2 linked regions of the Daphnia pulex genome follow. The protein of the gene in region 2 binds, or shares a complex with, the protein of the main gene of each other region. Links are inferred from orthologs where the notes say so. Each region holds a gene or a part of one and is shown on either strand. Other genes may lie near its edges.

Evidence for each region. The genes of interacting proteins can lie anywhere in the genome.
Region 1: splicing factor 3B subunit 3-like (region 2) and probable ATP-dependent RNA helicase DDX46 share a complex: the UniProt entries of both Homo sapiens proteins name them as parts of the 17S U2 SnRNP complex. The link is inferred for Daphnia pulex from reciprocal best matches to the Homo sapiens genes SF3B3 and DDX46.

What each region holds. Positions count from the first base shown.
Region 1 is NC_060028.1:6,105,004-6,115,730, reverse strand, and holds probable ATP-dependent RNA helicase DDX46, read right to left. Parts: upstream 5,603-10,727; 5' UTR 5,424-5,602; coding exon 5,404-5,423; intron 5,252-5,403; coding exon 5,111-5,251; intron 5,031-5,110; coding exon 4,850-5,030; intron 4,780-4,849; coding exon 4,668-4,779; intron 4,592-4,667; coding exon 4,419-4,591; intron 4,300-4,418; coding exon 3,961-4,299; intron 3,897-3,960; coding exon 3,737-3,896; intron 3,672-3,736; coding exon 3,555-3,671; intron 3,465-3,554; coding exon 3,264-3,464; intron 3,204-3,263; coding exon 3,121-3,203; intron 3,063-3,120; coding exon 2,865-3,062; intron 2,805-2,864; coding exon 2,610-2,804; intron 2,545-2,609; coding exon 2,278-2,544; intron 2,213-2,277; coding exon 2,098-2,212; intron 2,032-2,097; coding exon 1,766-2,031; intron 1,701-1,765; coding exon 1,497-1,700; intron 1,432-1,496; coding exon 1,189-1,431; 3' UTR 1,111-1,188; downstream 1-1,110. Other genes in the region: ran-specific GTPase-activating protein-like, read right to left, coding at 1-41, 113-270, 332-477, 547-567. UniProt on the Homo sapiens protein: Component of the 17S U2 SnRNP complex of the spliceosome, a large ribonucleoprotein complex that removes introns from transcribed pre-mRNAs.
Region 2 is NC_060019.1:9,345,779-9,356,454, reverse strand, and holds splicing factor 3B subunit 3-like, read right to left. Parts: upstream 6,567-10,676; 5' UTR 6,412-6,566; intron 6,086-6,411; 5' UTR 6,030-6,085; coding exon 5,804-6,029; intron 5,739-5,803; coding exon 5,568-5,738; intron 5,381-5,567; coding exon 5,104-5,380; intron 4,912-5,103; coding exon 4,761-4,911; intron 4,550-4,760; coding exon 4,308-4,549; intron 4,141-4,307; coding exon 3,962-4,140; intron 3,903-3,961; coding exon 3,747-3,902; intron 3,493-3,746; coding exon 3,341-3,492; intron 3,279-3,340; coding exon 3,123-3,278; intron 3,061-3,122; coding exon 2,905-3,060; intron 2,722-2,904; coding exon 1,808-2,721; intron 1,642-1,807; coding exon 1,263-1,641; intron 1,098-1,262; coding exon 750-1,097; intron 689-749; coding exon 548-688; 3' UTR 502-547; downstream 1-501. Other genes in the region: neuronal pentraxin-1-like, read left to right, coding at 1-377; protein APCDD1-like, read left to right, coding at 10,553-10,559. UniProt on the Homo sapiens protein: Component of the 17S U2 SnRNP complex of the spliceosome, a large ribonucleoprotein complex that removes introns from transcribed pre-mRNAs.

The sequences.
Region 1 (10,727 bases), on a different chromosome or scaffold from region 2:
ATCACTGTCACAATTGGGTTTTAATTCCATCACAGGAGTAACTAGGAATAGGATAACGTTTTGGAATTAAGTATGAAAATGTAAATTGTGGTTTAACATCATGAGTCATTACTGTAATGATTAGCACAAATTTTCCATGTTCTATCTCTCCTCATTAAAACTCTTGCAGTATTCTGTTTCAGATGACACAAAATCTTAATTTCCCCTGTGCCTCGTTCTTTCCACTGATGAGGATCTTCTGAGGTATCATACCTGTATAGCTTGGCACGTCTGGAAATAAATTAACTTAGGTTACATGCAAAATATAAATTCAACAAATAAACCATCATACAGTTTCACTAGATCCTCTTCATCTTCTTCCATGGAATATATGTGCACTTCTGGAAGATGAATAATTGGTTCAAAATATGGATCATGTTCCTCATGCTCTTCATTTTCAACATCATCTTTGTGGTCTTTATTGTTTTGGATTTCTACCTGAGTAAAAAAGACAAATCTAAACATATTGTGCAGTCATACATTGTTAATTCATTATTATTTACTTACAGATGTATCAGTCATTTTCATGTAAAATAAAGAGGGGAATGCAGTGAATTCAAAAATCCTCTTTACAATTCTATTTTAAGCAATGATCGAGGTGTCGATAGCGACGTTAGAGTTTCGAAGAAATACTGAACTTAAACCAGTTTTTTTTGTTGAGCCCCTTCAGTTTTTATTCTCTTTCTTTTCTTTTAAAGGCGCTAGGGCGAATGTCAAGTAGATCTGCAGTTGTACCAATTGTATATTTAAAAAAAAAATCATCTTCTCTCCAGAGTCACCAGACAGACTCCAGATGCAGTTATATTAGTGGTTATAGCATAGGCCATGGACCATGGTTATTAATATAGTATTTTTTATTTTAAGTCAGGCGAAAAGGGTTAAAATTTTATATATTTTTTACATGTTAATATGAAGTTTGTTGTTATGAAATAAAAATATTACCCAATCATAACATCCAGTGCAATTTATTTTTTTTATGATGTAAATAAATCATCTCCAACCCCCAACCCCTAACCCTAAAACAGAACAAAACCGACAAAACAAAAAAATATAAAAATATCGACAGTGGAACACCATGGTAAAATCTTGTATTGACTCACTGCATTTTCTGAGACGATGGAAAAGACGGTACGGTACTACCAAGAAGATTCAAACTTTGTATCTACCAGTTTTAGAACCTTGATAGGAGGTAGAACTGGCCAATCGAAGCATTTCTTCCTTTAGAATACGGACAATTTCTTTTCGTGCTTTTGAAACTGCCATTTCACTCGTGCTCTCGATGGCTAAATATAATTTTCTCTCTTCGTCAGCGATCTTCTTTCCCGGTGCGCAATATGTTCCTCGGACAAAAACGCCAGCTTCTGAAAATTCGCTTACCTGGGCCAAAGCCTCCTGAAAAAATAAAAGATGATATAAAAAAAAAACGCTACAGTCATTAACCGTATTCGTAAGCTAACCCTAGACGTGATTTTCCAGCGAACAGGTTGTGGGAAGTCGTTAATTTCTAACTCTTCCTCGAACTTCTGAATGACGTCCGAGCTAGATGGAGTATTTTCTCCGCCTTCTTCTACTGATCCTTCCATAGGTTCTTCACTTTCAACAGGGGCATAATTGAGTCGTGTATTGAGTTTTGCCGCCAACTGCTCTGCAACATTTCTAGCCTGATTGAAAAAACAAGATTGAGTTTTGAAATCCGAATTCATATTGAAATATTTTGCATATTTACCGAAATTGCTCCTATGGATGTTTCGGGAATGGCTGGAACGGGACCAGTCGATTGCTTGGCAAGATTAATCCTTGAAGCTAACCGTTTGGCCAATTCCAGCTTGTCGGTAGCCGTTTTGCTTGGAATGCTCGCGGCAACAGAACCGCCACCCCCAGACACCAGTGTTGAAGCTTGAACTTCACGCACAATACGTTTTGCAGCCATTAAAGTTTCGATTTGTTCATCCAAATCATTTTCTATATCTTCTTCATCTGAATCTTGCAGACCTGAATAATAATAAAAAAATTAATATACTCAGCCGAAATGCACACCAAAACCAACTCTTAATATACCCAAAGCGGCTTTCTGGAATTTTTTCTTTTCTGACACAGCCATAGCTTCAGATTCATCAAATTTGAACCCTTTACCAGAAAATCCACCACCTCCTGAGCGGACAGTTTTCCCTTCCTAAGAAAGAAAGAAAGAAACAAATTATTTGATTGAAAGGGTTTTTAATCTTCTGCTAAATTTACCGCAGCAAGCTTGGATTTGTATTGGTCCCAAAGAGTTTGTAATTCAACTGGCACTGGCGTTTCAGATTGTTCCATTGCTTTAATAATATCCCCTGCAGCCCTTTGCTGATCTGGAGTAATAAAAGTGTAGGCAAATCCTTTATTGCCTGCTCTTCCGGTGCGTCCACATCTATGAATGTAGTCTTCATGGTGGTTGGGGCAATCGTAGTTGACGACCAAAATAAGGTGCTTCACATCTAAACCACGAGCGGCAACAGATGTGGCAATCTGATCAAACAAAAGTATAGAAAACGGCGAACATCAAGCAAAATCTTTTTAAAATTTTCTATTACCATCAATTTGATTTTTCCATTTTTGAAGTCAACTACAGCTGAATCACGATCGTACTGATCAATACCACCATGAAGGGAAATGCAATCGTATCCAGCTTTCATCAAATCTTTGAGCAGGTCATCAGCACTTTCTTGTTTCTCAACAAATACAAGAACACTTCCTTGTTCCTGATAAACCCCCAATAACTCTAAAAGCTACCAAAATAAATTAGTTTATAAACAAAAATTCATTGTTAATTTAAGAAAAAAGCTAACTTTCAAAAATTTTTGTTCGTCTTCCATAACAAGAACATGCTGTTCGACGTCAGCACAAACAACGCTACGACCTCCAACCGTGATTTCAACAGGTTTGTTTAGGATTCTACGAGCCAAGGCCTCCATTTGACGGGGAAATGTAGCACTAAACATAACAGTTTGTCGATCAGGGCGAGTGTTATCAATGATTCGCATTACCTATATAAAAGGAATAAATATTTCTAGTCACCCGACGAAGTATTACTATCTTGCTTACTTGTGGCTCAAAACCCATGTCGAACATGCGATCAGCTTCATCCAAAACTATGTAAGTCACACGCCGCAAATTGGTGACACGTCCTATTTCAAAGACTAAAATTAAGACACTTTTTTAATAGTTAATCTATAGGTAAATTTTACCGTTGTTGGCAGCTAACATATCAATCATTCTTCCGGGTGTGCACACAATAATTTCAGCGCCACGTTTTAGTTCAGCTATTTGCTCTGATATTCCCGTTCCTCCGTAGACCGTCACCACACGCAAATTCAATGACTTGGTGAATCTTTTACATTCTTTGCCGATTTGTAAGCACAATTCTCGGGTAGGAGACATTATGATAGCTAAAACAGTGGAATATTTATGAAGGTAAAATAATAATAATAATAAAAAAAAATAAAATAAATACATCGATGATATTAAACACTACGTACCGATTGGCCCATCAGTCTCTTCTAATGCAGGCTGGTCTAAAATATGCCTAAACATAGGCAGCAAAAATGCCAGTGTTTTGCCACTGCCAGTTTTGGCAATACCTATTATGTCCCTGCCTATATATTTTAATAATAGTATTTTTTAAAATTTATACAACAAAAAAGTGTTCGTTGTTGTGTACCAGACATGATTGCAGGGATTGTCTGCGTTTGAATGGGGGTTGGTTTTTCATATGCTAATTTTTTTAGAATTTCCATTTCCTTTTTACTAACACCACATTGTGCCCATGCTTTTATAGGTCTCGGACACCCTTTTCCTTTAACTTTAATGCCTTCAAGTTCCTATATGTTAAACAATTTTTTTTTAACGTCCTGGGGCACTAGCAATTGTATCAGTCATACACACCTGTCGGTATTCATCTACTTCTTCTTGGGTCATACGTGCTATGTCGGGTACTTCCACGTAAAAGTTCTTCCGGAAAGGAAAATAGTTGATTTTGTTGTGATCAATTTTAAAAACTTTTTCTTTCTGTTTTATGTTGCTATTCGCCAGTCCGGACATTGCTGATGCCAAGTCTTCTGACTCTTCTTCTGAGGAATATTCCAAAGCGTCCTGATTTTGTTCCACAAGCTCACCTTTCTTTTTAGCAGCTTTCTTTGCTACTCCGGTCATTACCATCACGCCAGATCCTTTTGATTTTTGAACGTCAAGTTTCTGAACCTTTCGAACTTCACTTTGAATGTCCTATTTTTTTTTTTTAAATTAAATAGATGTTGATTTAAAAATACTAGTGTAAGCAGTAAGGTACGAATCCATGTCGATTCGGCAAAACCAAATCGGCACATGTAGATATTCTGAAGTACCTGCATAAAAGCATCTAAAGGGTCAACTTCTTCCTCTGCTTCTTGAACTTCAATTTCTTCGTTGATCGTTTCAATTGCTTCAACTTTAGCAGATTCAGTTTTCAATTTTCCATCTTCCTCTTCCTCTTCTTCATCATCTTCAAGTGACCATTTTTTCCCAGCTCTTTGATTGGCTGTTTAAAAGGATGGCAATATTATGAAGTATATAAGACAGTCAGTTTTTTTAAAAAGTTATTTCTAGATTATTACCTAGATCAGATTTAACTTGAGCAATTTCCTGCATCTTTCGTTCTAAACGCCATTTTTCTATTCGTTCTCGGCGTTTCTGCATTTCCAAGTCCAAAGTTTTCTGCTCCTCTTCCTATATGCAAGAAAAGAGACAAACAAACAATGTACACCCTTTCAAAATATTAAAAAATAGAACAACTTACTTTGGCAATCATGGCTGCAACAGCTGCTTCCTCCTTTAGCTCTGATTCAGATTTCAAAACAGGTTTAATTTCTTCGACTAAAGTTGGTTTTCTATCAGGGGATTTTGAAATTCTTCGTTCTGAAGTTGTTGTTGATCTTTTAGATTTATCATGATCTCTATCTTTTGATCTGCTTCTTCTCCTGGAAAATGTTACAAAAAGGTAGTTTTTACTTCTTAACATGGATCAGACTATCTTTTGTAAACATGAAAAATTAATTACTTGTCACGCTCCCTGTCCCGATCTCTATCTCTTTCACGTTCCCTGTCTCTTTGCCTGTGTTCCCCATCTCTATCTCGTTCTCGAAGTTTTTTAGAACGAGGACTACTGGATCTGCTTCGGCTTCTGGATCGTTTATTATGCCTAGCGTAGATGAGAAATGTAAATAAAATAATAATATTAAGCAATGAAAAACTGTAAACAAAAAATTTACATAATCTATATCGTTATTATAATCTGCATATTATTTTACTTAATAAATGAATTAATAAGTTAAATAAAAATAACAATTATACTTGTGTCCGTCACGAGCCATCGAAAAGACGTTTAATTTCGGAATACTTAATAAATTTTGCAATGAAATGAGTTAAATACAAAATGCACATGAGTGCGTCAATTTTGATACACAGATACAGGCAACATTGCCATGTTTAAAATGAATTTTACTTCAAACAAATTGAAATTGCCAACTGCTAGCTCAGGGCTCTGCTCAGGCTACTAGCTGCTGCTAGCTTTTTGCAAAATGAACTTTGTCCTGTCCTGTCTTTTCCATATCCATGTTTATAAATAATATCTAGATTTTGAAAATGCAAGGGAAATTTCTTCTCCCGGCTATTCAGATTTTTGTCCTACACACCAGAGGGTTTTCAAAATCGGCCGGTAGATGGCTTGCAAAATGAAGTGGGATGATTACGAAAATCGTTAGAAAATGGCGGAAAATTTTCCAGATTTTAAATCCCTTATATCTCTGCCAATAAAGCTTAGATAAAAAACGGGGCAAGACGTCTGTGGAAAGGGGCAAAATCTTCTGAAAAATCCGTTTTTTAAACGGCCTGGTTCACCCGAAAACTGATGTAAAAAACCCGAAAAAACGCTACAATTTCTGGTGGGCCCTCATAGTTTTTCGTGAAGAATTCAAAACTATAACAACAAAAAACAGTAAAATTCCGATAAAATGGTTTATTTGGGGATGTACTGCGATGCCTTGTCACCAATTCCCCAAAAATGATAAGCCCCCCAGACCCCCAAATCCGGCCTCCTTGACTGGTGGACTCGATGTTAGAAGTATAATGGTTGCAACCCAGAAAAGAAAGAAATAATTGTCTGTAGACCTCCTTGGCAGAGTAGTAGATAATGGTGTAGCCACTAGGACAGGAGGCCTTCCATTTCCTTTTTCCCTAAAAGTGTTTCTAGCTTTCCACTTCCCAGCTCTTAAAATTAGCGCCACAGCAGGTGTGGTGGGAAATGGGGAATGGTTTTGCCGAAGGTTTCGCTCGGTAGCAAGAGGCGTTGGTGATAGAGGATAAACATAGATACCTAAGCTCAGTTTTCACTATCGAGTCGTGATGTTCGCTGCAGCTCTAGGAAAAATTTCCGAGAGGAGGAGTTAACATGGTAGTGGGTACACCATTATCTATTACTCTGTCCTTGGAGTAATGGAAGCCAAAACCACGATATAATAGGAAAGGTACAGTATCCTTCAAAAAAATCCGAACGGCGATTTTTTTTCAAATAGCCACCTATCCATATGGCGGGGAACTGGGTTTGGTTTATAGGCCGAATTTGGGGGGGTAAGGAACAAAGCGAAAGGTGGGAAGAAAGAAAAAGGAGTAATTAGCCATTGGCCATGTCTCCCCCCTCCCCCCCCAAAAAGAAATACGAATGAAATCAGACAGGCTGTCTGGAATTTTCATGGCGCGAAAAGTTTATTTAACCGACTTAAACTCATTGCCGATTATTAAACAAATGACTTAAGGCGATTCCTTTGAACTTTCCCGCTTTTTAATGCTAGATTTGGTAGCTTCTGGTTTTCTCGTCACTTGTCGAAAAAATGACAGTGAGCCTGCGGCTATTCCAACCAGCCTGTCTGGTTTTGTTTCACACTTTTTATTTCGGAGGGGGAGGGTTTCTTTCTTCCCACCTTTCGCTTCGTTCTTTACCCCCAAAATTCAGCCTATTAACCAAACCCAGTTTCCCGCATTATGGATAGGTGGCTATTTAAATAAAAATCGCCGTTCGGATTTTTTTGAAGGATACTGTACACTCTCGGCTATCCCCAAGACCGGCGGGTGTTTAGTAAAGGATCTCAAAATTCCCCGCCAGGTTCGCTATAGGTTAGGAGGCCCCTCGCCTCTCGGAGGTATAGCAAAAATAGAGGTTTTTCGTTCTTAATATAGAAAGTTACGAATCTAATTCATCTAGATTAGTCAATTTTATATATGTTAAATTCGTGATTGAAATTCACATTTTTTTGAAATTTGCGCCAAAAAAATCAAATCAAATTTTATTACTGATTTTAGTTTATTCTATTTTAAAATATTAAACATGAATTTATAATATTAAAAATGAATTTTCTTAATTCATTAACAAAGAAATTACACGGTTTTTTATTTGTGTTTATGTTAAAGGGATAGTTCTTCTTTCTATTAGAAGCAATCGCATTCTCTAATTTTTTGGCAAGCTATCTTCCATTTGTTATTGAAGTTTTCTCTTTTTTTGGTGTTTTTCCCCCATAACAATTATAAAAATTCATCATTATATATATAAACCGTCATTCTACGTCGAATGCGATAGGTCGCGTCGTGATCGGTGGATCACGATAGCGTTAAAGTCCCAAAAACCGTCTTCGTTTTTCCCCGCCCAATTCCCCAGGGACCTTTCATGGTTAATAGTATTTGGAGGACTGTCGGAAAAATCTCGGCCTTAAAAGGCGGTAAGCCTTCGGCTTTTTAAAATAAGAATTTTAAAAACCTCTCAGGGAAAATTTTGGCAACGTTGCAAAAACTATCGGCGATTATCGCACCGATACTTTTTTTATTAGTTTCGTCGTTCGATAGTCAGGAACGCTCCGCCAAAATGAGGGGCGGACGGTGGAGAAAATATCCACTCGATATTATGAGCGCCCAGCTCGTTGGCGATGGCCGTTTGATTAATACGATCCAGTCTGATTTTCAGTTCTTTTTCACCAGCTTTAAGGTTAGTGCCGTTGTCTGAATATATCAGGTCTGGCCGAATTCTTCTGCGCGTGAACCTCGAAAATGCCAAAAGGAACCAGGAAGTGTCTAGGTGATTCGCCATGTCGAAGTGCACAGATATGCTCACCAAGCACGTATAGATTATTCCCCACCTCTTTTCCGTTCGTCGGTCGACAGTCGTCATGATTGGCCCGAAGTAATATATTCCTGTGTTGGAAAATGTGGATCGGTCGTCTTCAAGCCTGTGGATTGGAAGAGCGCGATTGGAATGTCCAGTTTTGCACGGAAACGCCGGCAATCAAAACTTTTCTTGAGGATGCGGTAGATTTACGATCTGCATCGCGGGATCTAATATTTTCATGTAGTTCTGTAACAGTTCTCTCGACCGTCACGTGCCTAAGGAAAATATACTACCTATTTACGATTAATTTAGTTACAAGGTGGTCCGCTGATAATGACAGCGAATGCTTGATGGCCAGTGGAAAGTTACTGGAGCCCAGTTGTCATCCTACGCGGATCGAGTTTGCTTCTGCATAGAAGAAAGGGGTTAGTGTGATGATATTTGAACCTGATTCCAACTTTTTTTCTTCACTGAGTCCTTTGAATTCCCTTCCGTACTCTTCACGCTGGGCGAGGCGGACAAGAATTGTGATGTATTGAATGCGATCACAGATGGCGCACGAAAGGCTCACGCCAGAAGGCCAGGGGGTGAACGGCATTCGAGCCAAGAGTAGAGTGGAGGAAGGTCTTGTTCCCGTCTTGTGTATTTCATACGCCTTGTGTACTTCGAATACAGTGCTTAACGCAGACATAACAAGAATCATTTCGGCTTCTACAAGAATCTTTTAGCCGGCATATACTGTAGCTTGGCTGAATTATGAGAAGAAGCGGATGAGTTGTAGGAGCGGAAATATTTCCGGCCCATTTCGAAGAGTTGATTTCAGGTCATTGACTGGCTGGAAGAAATATTTTGGCATTGCTGGTCAGCTCACCCGGGACTGAAGAAGAAAATCTGGGCCAGCCCACAATTAATAATTTTCCGTCAAGACGGACGCCTCAACACCACGGCTGTAGTCGTCGGTGGGGTTTCGACTTGTGACAAGTGCCCGGCACATATAACCACTGCTATGGAATCGCGATGGTAAGAATTTCGCCGACTCAGTTGGCCACCATGGTGTGGTCGGGTGTGGTACCAAAAATTGCGTCATGTTAATCCAACGCAGTACAGTAGAAGAGTCCAACCAAAATATTTCGCTATCTATTTTCAACCGGAGCTCGGACTTCATGGTTCGGGCCAGACGGGAACCAAGCAGGGTGGCCATTCTTCTATCCGTGGCTCTACACTTGAACATCACAAACATGGTAGAGTTGCTTTTCTTATTTTGCAACAACAGGTAAGCCAGAGGCGCCGTAATCCAATTCACTGGCGTCTACGAACACGTGAAGTTAGATGAGCGTTGGAGAGAAGGGTAGAAAACACCTCGCACAGTCACGAACTCAAGATGATGCAGATCGGAGACCCAGTAAGGCACTTCTATCGGAATGACGGACGCGGACTTTAAAAATTAAAAACCATGGTTGAGCTGTCATCTTCACTAAGCTCAACTGTGATCTCTCCTAATCCAGCAGCATTCAATTCAATGACCTTCGTTGCTGTTGGCTTAGGCTTGCTAATCAGGTCAAAATTTTTTGAAACCACAGTTAACACCTTAAAAAATAGTTCAGGTTCGAATTCTCCATCTAATAAAACAGAAAATCTATGACAAATTTTCTAATCTTTTTTTAGTCATATTTTTTACCGTCAATAGCGCGCGGTCACCGAGTATTCGCAAGAAAGGCAGTCTGTCTCTCCATGCTGGAGCTTGATCTATTATGTCGTCTAGTAGTAGGTCTGCCTACTAAATTTATAAGTGCAAAAGATAGAAAAATTACATTTTTTAATTAATAACATGCAGAAAACGGGGGGGGGCATATTATAAGACGAATAATTAAATAAAAACGAATTCTGAAACAAAAAAATGGCATAACAATATAAATGCCATAAATGGATGACAATAATTTTAAGATTTGATGGTGTATTTAAGTCAGTTACCTGTAGATGATCTTGTGTACCGTCGACTATATGGTTCGGTCCCAGTGGTTTCTCGTGGCATTGGACTAGCCTCGCTTACTTGCGCTTGCAGAACGCGCACTTGCGCTGATAACTGCTCCAAAATTTGCTGGTTCTCTAAGGAACTCATTTTGCACGCACGTGTCAAAATGTAAATGAAGACTGGTCTCAAAAATTCTGCTGTTAGACTTTTTAAAGTCTGCTAGTCTGCAAAAGTATGGGCGGTAACATAAAATTTAAGACTACTAGATATTCCCGAGTTGATGGGCATTTATAAGTTCATTAAACTCTATAGCCCTGCCCTGCCCTCTGAACCTGCGCCATACAGCACATGTAAGCAAGGTCATAAGAATATATAATGAGCCAAAAGTCAATAACCTGAATTCAAAGTCAATAACCGGCGGATTGAGCCGGGACCGTTTTCCTATTGTCGATTTTGGATTTCACAAAAGGAAATTCTTTCTTCGCTCCGGGGAGTTTTCGAATTTGTTGAGAATTCATTTCCGTTTTGGAAATTCGTAGGTTAATACGTAAA
Region 2 (10,676 bases):
TCCGTCCACTCTTGATCCGGGGCAACGGTACAGTTGTTTTCGGACAGCAACAAAACAATTTCGACTTCAGTCCCGATCGGCCTGGTGGATTTCAGTCTTCGTCCGGAGTCGAAGGAGAAATGACCCTAATGTTTTTTGACAGCAGACCATTGCGTCATCAGATGGAAAGCATCGGTGCGAGCGGAAACGTTAAAGGTGAAATTACAGGTACGAAATTAACCAGCGACATTTCGGCAATTTCTTGGGGGGTAAAGGGGAATACTTTGGGATGTTTCAATCAGACTATTGGAGATATCGTGGCATGGGGTATTACAGAAATTAAACTAGTAGGTGGGGCCAAAGTTACGAATGCTAAACCGTCTTGTGGAGACTTCTAACAAATAAAATTGCTATACACGACTTATTTTTTACTGTTAACCGTACAAAATTGAAATTAATCTTCCAATGAATCCAATCGCAAAAATGTTTTGATGTATTAATAGAAAAAAATTAGTTCTGACGTCATACGAACCGTTGTATTACGTCGACATTTGTTACATTACAAGTTTTAAAAAGCATATCGAGTACGAATGTCCTCTAATTTTTTAGACACTTCATTTGGAGCACGGTCGAGATCGTCGGCTACTGCCTTCTGCTTACTCGAATCAATTGAGTTAAACTGCTCGCATAGATCTCCGTCGATCACGTTCTGAAGAGAAAACAAATTGTTAAACCTTGAACGTCGCAATTGTGTGAAGATAACCCATTACCTTGACTGGGAAATAGAAAGACCTAAACGCCAAATGATCTCGTCCGCAAAGAGGAGGATGTTCAGACCTGAGGTGCATTTCGAGGGCTTGGAAAAAATCGTGATCTTCCCTTGACGTGAACGGAACCAACACGCCAATAGATCCGGACAAAGTTGTGTAGACAAGGGATTCAGAACCGCCTGGAATAAGGGTCGCTCTTTGAAGCGACAATGCAGTCTCGCCAATATGAATGTTGCATAATACTTCGGCCTTATTAGATGCCCCATTAAGAACACCACGATCCCAGAATGATTTGTTTCCAGTGGGATCTTCGTCCACGTCATCGGATGTCCTAGATGGCAACCGCAACTAGCAAGAAATAAGAAACTATTAGAATGGGATAATTTACACAACACACTATCTTCAAGGGTCTACAGTTCTCAGTAACGAGTTGTAATCATAAGATTCAGTAGTCTAACATGTTAAAACATCATAGAAGGAAGAAGTGCCTGCAGAGAATCTAAAATATCTTACCACTGAAATGTTGCCGAATTTATCAGCTACCGCAACAGTGTCATAATCCAAAAGACACATGGTGGTGACATAACGAGGGTGTGTATCGTCGGCAAAGATGATCAGTTGATTCTCCATACGCTTGTAGCGGACGAAGTGGATACTTTCCTGAACATCGGCCACATACACACGCTGACCGAGGGCTTGAATGTTGACGACACAGCTTGGTAAATGTTTGTTCTCACATTTTCGCAGCAACTTCTTTTTTCCCATATCATATAACCTCAACAATCGCCCAACTCCAATCAAAACTCGACCCTGGTAGGCGCAGATGGCGTAGGGAGTGTCCTCAACAGGAGTTTTGTGAACAAATTCAAGCGCCGACCACTCATTTATCAATCTAAATTTAAAAAATCACAACCAATTAGTTTGAGGTATAAAAGCACTCATCTCAATAGTTGGGAGTTCATTTCAGAACTGCAGAACGTTTTCTTCCTTTTGATCAGAAATTGCTCTTATCATCACTAGATACAAAAATGCCAATATATAAAATCGAAGGAACTCACTTGTATGTATAGATGAACCCTCCATCACATTGTTTGGGATTTAGCTTCAAATCCTTTGCAACCCCAACAAGAACGAAATAATCTTCTGGGTCCTGATTCATAAACCGCGCCAATCCGATACTCAGGGCAGCCTCGTTCTGTGGCAATCGAATTGTGTGCAAAGAATTGCCGCTAGTAGGGTCCATAATGCGGACGATCGAAGCCCACATACCAGCACCAGCTTTCGGAGCTCCAAACTCACTTTCAGGTAAATCTTCATTGAGGAAAGCGTCGGCCATTTGATGAGCCAACTCCTGTTCTTCTTCCGTCGCAGCATCCCTCATCTCTTGAGCTATTTGCTGTCTCCTCTCAAGCTTGGTCTCTAGCGTATAAGCATTGTGATCGGTTTCAATAATAATCATGCGCCCGGAATCGTGTACGACGAATTTTCGAGGCGTATACTCCAATGGATATGAGACTTGATTGAAGACGGCACCCAACTTCTCCAACGCCAAAATACGAAGTGTGTTGGAAGCAATGGCGACGACTCCTTCGGGACACTGTTCGGATGCGAAACCAGATGCAAATTCCAACGAATCATAAGACAATGGAGCGAGATGGAAACGATTCTGAAAGTAGTAGCTCAGCCAGGTACGCGAAGATATGGCTAACACGGCTTCGTGATTTTGTGTCATGACGCGGAAAAGTTTAACTGGTCTGGAACCTAGGTACCGAGTTCTCGTATCAGCCAAATCCCCCGTTACAGGATCCAACACCGTTCTCAATAAAACACCATTCTGAAGACCAATGTTGAGGAAAAGCTGTCCTGAAGTCCCAGTTGTTTCGGAATCTTTATCGTGACCACCCATTTCAACAATACACAAGGATTCTGGAGTGGCTGGTAACGCTTGCATACTCAAGGGTGTAAGACAGTCCTGTAATGTCAAAAATCAAGACATTAAGAAAAGAAAACTGCGTACACCACATTACTTGAAAAGACTAATCATCAGTAATGAACGAGAAGGGGTTAATTTCAGAAGTACCTTAAGATACTTCAAAACTCTAGCCTAAGTTCTCATCATGAAAGTGGGGAAATCGCGCAATAAATAACAACTTACATTGGGATCTAATGAGATGACGCGGACAGTATTATCTGCGAGGCCAACAGCTAAGAAACGTGATCTCTGTTCACCAGACGGGACATTAGCCAAAGCCATGCATACAACTTCGGCAGTCATCTCCTTCCGCTCCGTATATTCGTTTAATTGACCGGTCTAAATATATTTAAAAATAGTAATATAATAGAGGAAAAATTTACACAATCACAAGGACTTACCGGATCCATCTCGAAGTACACCAATTCCCCGCCAGCTAGAGAAATGACAACCTGGCGCTGATTAACTGCACACCGAGATATAGCTCGTTTACCAGGGGATTTCCATTCGTTGATCCTTCTGTCTGCCCTTATGTGTCGAATTCCTTCAGGATAAACCTGTTAAGATAGTTATGGTCTATGATATTACTGGATAGGAGTATTTTGCAAAATTTTATTACCTGGAGCAATGCATTATCACCCAGCGAGGAACACCCTAGAGTAGGCGTCGTGCCCAAAAACCCTGAGTCTGTCACCTCTTCAACAGTTTCACCGATGGACAACACAAGTGTGGCATTCACGAATGACACAACAATGTAAGCATCAAACTCGTCTGTGAAGAAAAATAAAAGAAATTTAATAACCCCTCCATAATAATGAAAAGGACTCATGGGGGATAGATAAAAAAAAGGGAGTGTACAGCTGAGTAAGTGAACTGAAGCATTACTCCACTAGGTTCCAGGGAAGATCAAGGCTAACCTGAAAACAGTAAAAAAGACTGGCGTTTGAACTATGGTCCAACCACCAGTCGCTCACGTGCGCGCACAATGTGACACGCCCGCTGAGCACAACACAAATTAAAATTACCGTCGGCACGTTTTCTGACAGTCCACACTGCATTGGGGTTACCGGGAAGTTCAGAAACAGCCATCTCCGATACTTCCAATCCATGACGGAGAACACGAAGAGACGAACGAGAACTTCTACCACAAAGTGCATACAACTGGGGTGTATCCTCATTGGCTGTAAATTGAAAACAAATGTTAAAAACCTTTCAAAACAGGAGGAATTATCAAACCTACCGAGATCAGCAATATGGCAGGCCAGAACTGGAGATAAAGACTCCATCTCGTCCACGAGAACAAGATTCTTCAAAGGTCTCGGAGCAAAGAAGAAAGTATCTCCTTCCTCCAATGGTATAGTAGAGCTGAATTCGGGTTCATCGTCATCATCCCCCAAATGAGCAATCTGGTAAAGATAACTAATAACACAAGGAAAATTAATACACTTGAAAACCCATAAAACTACTTCAAATTTTGTAACCGAAATCAGAGTCAAAAATTATAATCAAAGTGTTATCTCAGGTGAAACACGGATGACAATACACATCATTTCAGCAAATAGAAAAAAAAATTTAAGAAAACTAACTGATTTCCAAATTCCGATGCGACGAATAGAAAGCCTGTCTTCAACACACACATGCTGGACGAAACTGGAACGGTATCAAAGTACTTGATTTTCAATTCTCTCACCACCTCTTCATCCATATCCATGGTGATCTTGAAAATATCGCCCTGCTCCGTTTGGACAAGGAAGAAAAACATGGCCTTGGTGCGATGGGAAGCCGAGCAGACGAAAATCATGCCCCTTTCCGGATCATCCAAGTCATTCTACAGAGAAAAAACTTATTACTACCGTCCTCAATACATGGAATAAATAACTTATCGGAGGTTCGTTCCAGGACAGCATGCAATATGCGCATTACAATCCAACGATGCAAACATCTCCAAGTATAGTTTAGGCACTAGTCGACCAGCACGTGTATAGAACACGGCTGGAGATACCGCGCGCCAAATAACATAATGAAATGATCAAACGTACCCTTCTTCTGGGGATTGGGCAACGAATGTCATGCTGTTCACCCAAATTCTTATATGTGATGTAGTTCTCGGAGCAAACCAGAACTCCGGAAGGTCCGTCGTTTCCTCCAGGAACAGTGATGAGGAAATTGGCGTGCTCATCCAACGGCTCACTATTAAAGTAAAGATATGTTCATCAAAATATTTCTTACATTGTCACACATAAGTCAACAATGTTACACACTATGATAGATAATGTCCCCCTTATGTATAGCTGCAATCTTTAAGTGACAAGAGAGCAGTAAAGTTAAGGGGTTTTGAAACCCAACCAGGCAAAACCAAAATCACCAAGATTTGTTACGCACCTATATTTCCTAACGACGTGGTTTAAACCCAGATCGAGTTCGTAGAATGTAAGCGTTTGTTGCGTCTTCTGTGCCGCCTCGCCTGTTGGATCACCATCGGCCTCTTCATAATCCATCTCCAAACAAGCAAATACAGGGTTTTCAAATCCCACGTCAACACCCACTATGTTGTAAACTAGAGTGTTTGACTTGTGAGCCTCCAGCGGAGAAGAAATGGTTAAATGGGCTTGGGCATCCCTGTTCAGAATGTAGACCAGTTTTTGCTTCTCAATAGCACCTGCAATGCAAAAAAAAAACATAAATGTTAAAGCAATGCGCACTCTCAAGCCACAAGATTTCGATTTTAAAAAATTCTCAGTAAAAACGTTAGATATCAGCATTATCTTTCTCAGATGGGGAAAGAAGACATAAAAACGTAACTCATCACTTGCAAGAATTTAAATTAAAAACGGATCAAAACTTACTGATCATAACAGCTCTGCCTTTGGGATCAATTGCCATGTACTGTCCAGGAACAATCCGACGACAACCGCTTTTGCCGTACGTTTCTTGGTGCACCTTATCAAACACATTTTTGGCAGCATTGTATTCAAGAATGACAATTCGCCCAGAGTCTGATCCGACCACAAGGTAATCTAAATACAGAATTAATGAAAGTTAGCAGGATGTATGTTTTAAAAATTATATTTGCACAACTCACCCTTATTTCCTCCAGTAAGCCTGAAACTAATGATTGACCTGATGATTCCAAAAACCTCTTGACTGAGAAGTGTGTGTACTTTGCCAGTGTTGGGATCCGGCTTCACAATTTCGAGTACCTTTCCACGAGCAATGACAATCTCCTGTTGCTTGGTGCCACTGAAGTTGCCCTGGACTGCCTGAATGATGCCAGTGGCACGCTGCAGAGTCAGATTGTAAAGATACATTTTCTTTCAAGTTGACGTGTCCAATGTGTAACTTGAACTGCCTAGATGAGCATCACCTGCGAAAATGTTATCAGATATAATTCTTACATTTGTCCAACATGTTTAATGACAATGTTACACACCATTTGAAAATTAATGTCCCCCTCATGTATAGCCACCAAACTTAATTCACAGAAAGGCGGTAAAGTTGTAAGGGGTTTTCTTTTCTTTAATAGCTAGACGAGTACGCGAAAGAAACTACAGCCCCGGCATCTCACCCGGCAAGGTTTTCAAATTGACATGCTTCAATATTTTAAACATCGCCAAAAACACACATTTAACCATCAAAATAACTGCTTTTCAACTATCTGGAACTAAAATGTGTAGTCAAACTTGAATTTACCTGTGGATGTTACAGATTTTCCATGATGGAAAATTCAGCAAAGGTTGAGTGAAATCTCTCTTGGCTCCGGCGTCGCGCTCGAGTTTAGGGTTCGACTTCTCGTGCATTGTGTGATAGGCAATATTTTTGAACATCTGACATCGACTCTCTACTTGGTCTATCCCTAAACACAGCATTTTCAATGCATTTGCGCTTTCTTTATCACAAGATTTTTTAAATTATTATTATTATTTATAGAACGATTTCATAATGCATTATACAATAAAATTGTGAAATTAATAAAAAATTTCAGTGGTGATAATCAAGAATGATTTATTCACAGCTGTTTTTATTACTCATAAAGTAATTCAAAAGACGTGTTCATATTCCGATCCCTTGCTATGCGCGCGAGTTTCTCTCTAGAACCACCATGCAGCCACGCTTTGAATAGACAAGTTCGGGATGCTGAGTTGCACAACCGCAAAATTAGGATCGTGCGCCAACGAGTTTTTGTAACGTTGTGGGGATAGTAGAAAGCGGGTTTTTTATTATTTAAGCATAGAATTACTTATCTAATCTTAGAAATGTTCAGGATTATCGTTGTTTAGAACATTCTGCTTTTTATAGAGTAATTTTAAATGTATAATTCAGCTTAGTTTACCCATTCAAATTAAAGAAAGTCCAAGCCTGGGATGCTGTTTAGTCTTTTCTTGTGTGTTTGAGCTTGTCACTTGTCAGCAGATCTGTCAAAAAACACAAGAAAAGACTAAACAGCATCCCAGGCTTGGACTTTCTTTAATTTTAATGGGTAAACTAAGCTGAATTATACATTTAAAATTACTCTATAAAAAGCAGAATGTTCTAAACAACGATAATCCTGAACATTTCTAAGATTAGATAAGTAATTCTATGCTTAAATAATAAAAAACCCGCTTTCTACTATCCCCACAACGTTACAAAAACTCGTTGGCGCACGATCCTAATTTTGCGGTTGTGCAACTCAGCATCCCGAACTTGTCTATCTTTTAAAATTTCTTATTCAAAAATTTTTATTTGCGGTGCGGTAAGGAATAACGAATAAGGGTGTTGAAGCACTTATCTTTTTTTTTCAATTCATAATGTACCGTTGAATTCATTTCGAGTCATTCAATTCATATTGACTGAAACAATCGAGTTCCCGAACTTTACCGATTAACTCGTCCTCTGTCGCCAGTGATGGAATGTGGAACGGCTTGCAGTCGGAAATCAACTCTTGACTTTTGATGTTTCCTATTAAGAACAAGTTTAGAGGTTTGAAAAAAAACGAAACTAGAAAAAACGAAGAATTTGATGTTGTCCTTGCATTCTTTGGAACAGCCTTTATTGCAGCATCTTCCAAAAGATAGCCGCAGCGAAATTCTTCGACGTTTGGAATTTAACATCGTCGACTTGTTGTTGTTGTATACGCGATATCAGCAGTCGGTAGTTTTGGGCCAACTTTCGTCGTCGTCGGGAACAGCATGAGATTATAGTTTTCTACACTGTCATAAATGCGTTGAGATAAGGCGCTGCTGGGCGCGGTATGAAATCCCCTTGTTCCGTAATATAACATGCTGCAACCGCTATAAGCCATGTACGCGCATTCGTGGTTTTTATCTGATGTACAGTAGAACAAGTTCTAACTTTCCATATGCCATCTTATTAAGGTTATCCTCTCTGACTATACAGAAACAAATCAACCTCAATAGGGATTTTTTAGAGCTACATAGTCACAGTGACGAACGCGACGGTATTAGCCAATGTGTTTGAATCCGGCGATTAATAGTCCGCTCGATTGGAAACCGTGAAATCGTTTCCGAAATTATGCAGGCAATCAATGCTCTGCTGCACTATCGAGAGCTTTTTTCTTTTGGCCGAATGTATATATCGCAGCACTCGAATTCGCATTTCGAACGCGGGTTTCGCCCCGGTCTATTGCCTTTTGATCGTGAAACTGGCAGCTGTTTCAGCGCGCAATTCAGGAACACGCCTCTCGATGTTATTTCGTTTGCCAAGAAAGAAATTCACGCACAGCACACACATAAGAGATTGAATCATCGGATATAAATATTTATTATCTTTCGCGAATCCACTTGGTCCCGCGACGGGTCAACATCTCGCGTTCCACAACTAACGTTACATATAAACATCCGAAAATGGTTGGACTCGAGCCACACAGACATATTCCGCGTTTAAAAAAATCTATCAACCGGGAATTTCGAAAGCAGAAGACGGCAGAAGAAGAAGAAACTCTGTGCTGGGGTCGTCTTGTTCTCATCTCATTATCCAATTTTTGTTGAACGCCAAGCAAGAAAAGATAAGAAGCGGTGAAATAAAATATCTGAAATGAAAATCAGTTTCATTTCATTGCGGCTTAGTCTGTAGCTATAGTACACTTTAATCCGCGCAACTGCTGCTGGTAGGGATATTCATTGTTGGCGTAATCAAGTTGATTGTCGACAAGAGGCGGATTTTCCAATTGATTTACGAGCGATGACGGGAGGAGAGTGAAGAAATTTCCCCCAGCGCGCCGCCCAGCCAAAAGGATGATCGCTTACATGAATATGAGGTTGCGTCAGATTTTTAATAAGAAGATATCGATCAATGGCGGGGCAGACAGAAACTCTTTTAAGAGGGTCCATCACTCGTCTGCCGTTCTTCACCACCCACAAGGTTACATCAGAATCAAAACGATATAGGAAACGTATATTCAAGACCGGGGTCGGTCATATTATCATCAAAAGGCCCAAAAAAAAAAACGAGAAACTGTCGGTTAGGTTCTTCATTTCCCGCTGTGACTGGAAGAAGTGAAAAAGCCTCGTGAGTTCAAAACAGATGAGACGACGATGTCCCGTGCTGCGGCAGTCCCGAGAAGAAGAAGAAGAAGAAGAAGAAGAATCAATGTGTTTAGATGTATAAAAAGGAAAACAAAAAGGCCAGCCAAACGGATGAGATGGGAATAGATTTTGATTTCAAGGTTCTGGAAGGAAAAACTCGTTGCTGCGTGCGTTTAACATTCCTCGGCTGTCACACATGTCAGCATTTTTCCCCCCGCGACCAAAATTCATAGATATAGAAAATGATGGGGGGTCGTATATAATAATCATAATAAGTGAACTGGCCAGTGAATAAAATCACGTCGGCACACGACGACGACCGAACCCTATAGTAGTAGTAGTCAAAGCGGGCCAGCGCATGCAGCACAGCACACACGGAAGATTGATTTCAACTCACAGCCCTTTTTAGCTCTCGTTATTTTGTCTTTTTCTTTTCTCCTATACGGATCGCTGGATGGATAGATAGATAGACCGCCGGACTTTTGTGTATCATTATAAGGCAGCGCCTTTGTCCCGTATGACCAAAAATATATATATCCATCCAATGCTGGTGCAGGTGGTTGTTTCCAATGGAAATAACCGAAGCCGAAGAAGAAGAATGTTTCATTCAAACTTGGCAAGATCGATGCGGCAATCGTCACTGCTCCGCTGCGTATTACAATCACAAAAACTTCTTCTCTTTTTTTAAATGTTGAATAACGAACAACCAAAAAGAAAATAATAATTCATCCGAAAAGGAGGAGCCCCCTGCGAAAGAAAAGAGTGAAAATAAGAGTATAGAGTTCACGTATAGACACACACACACACAAAACTGGTGTACATGGAACCCGCCCCAGCCGCTGCTGGGTTGATAAGAGCGACGGGTCGTCCCTCCTAGGGTCTCAGTCGACTCCTAGTGGTCAAAGGGCCAGGTTCGCCTTTTTCTCTACGCTCCTACCATCTTTTTTCAACTTTTGTCGAGAGAGATTTCCGGTCTTGAAAAACCAGCACATACCTGTGGGGCGTGTGTGTGTGTGTGTGGCAGCTATTATAACTAAATGTGAACTGCTTTTTCGTTTACCTCCCGTCCACCAACCACTTGCGTCACATTTATTCGGGTCGTCGTGACAGTCGTTGATTAAGTGCTGAGAGTGCGCCTTGCGTCAACCGTGTGAGAGTTCATTAATGCCGGCTGACTTGACTAGAACTAATCTAACGTCCGCTATTTGTGGCTGAGCTTCCGCAAAGTTCCGTCCGTGTCGTGAAAACACAATCAGAGAGACCCGACGATTTATTAAGACGTCAACACCTTGGAAAAACTTCAAAGAATGAACGGTATGGGCCGCCAGTCAATTATTCTAGCTGCTTTTATTTTCGAAACTTTTTTTATTATGTGGGAAAACACACACACACGAAAAAAAAGAGGGGAAACAGCAACAACTTTGTCGTCCG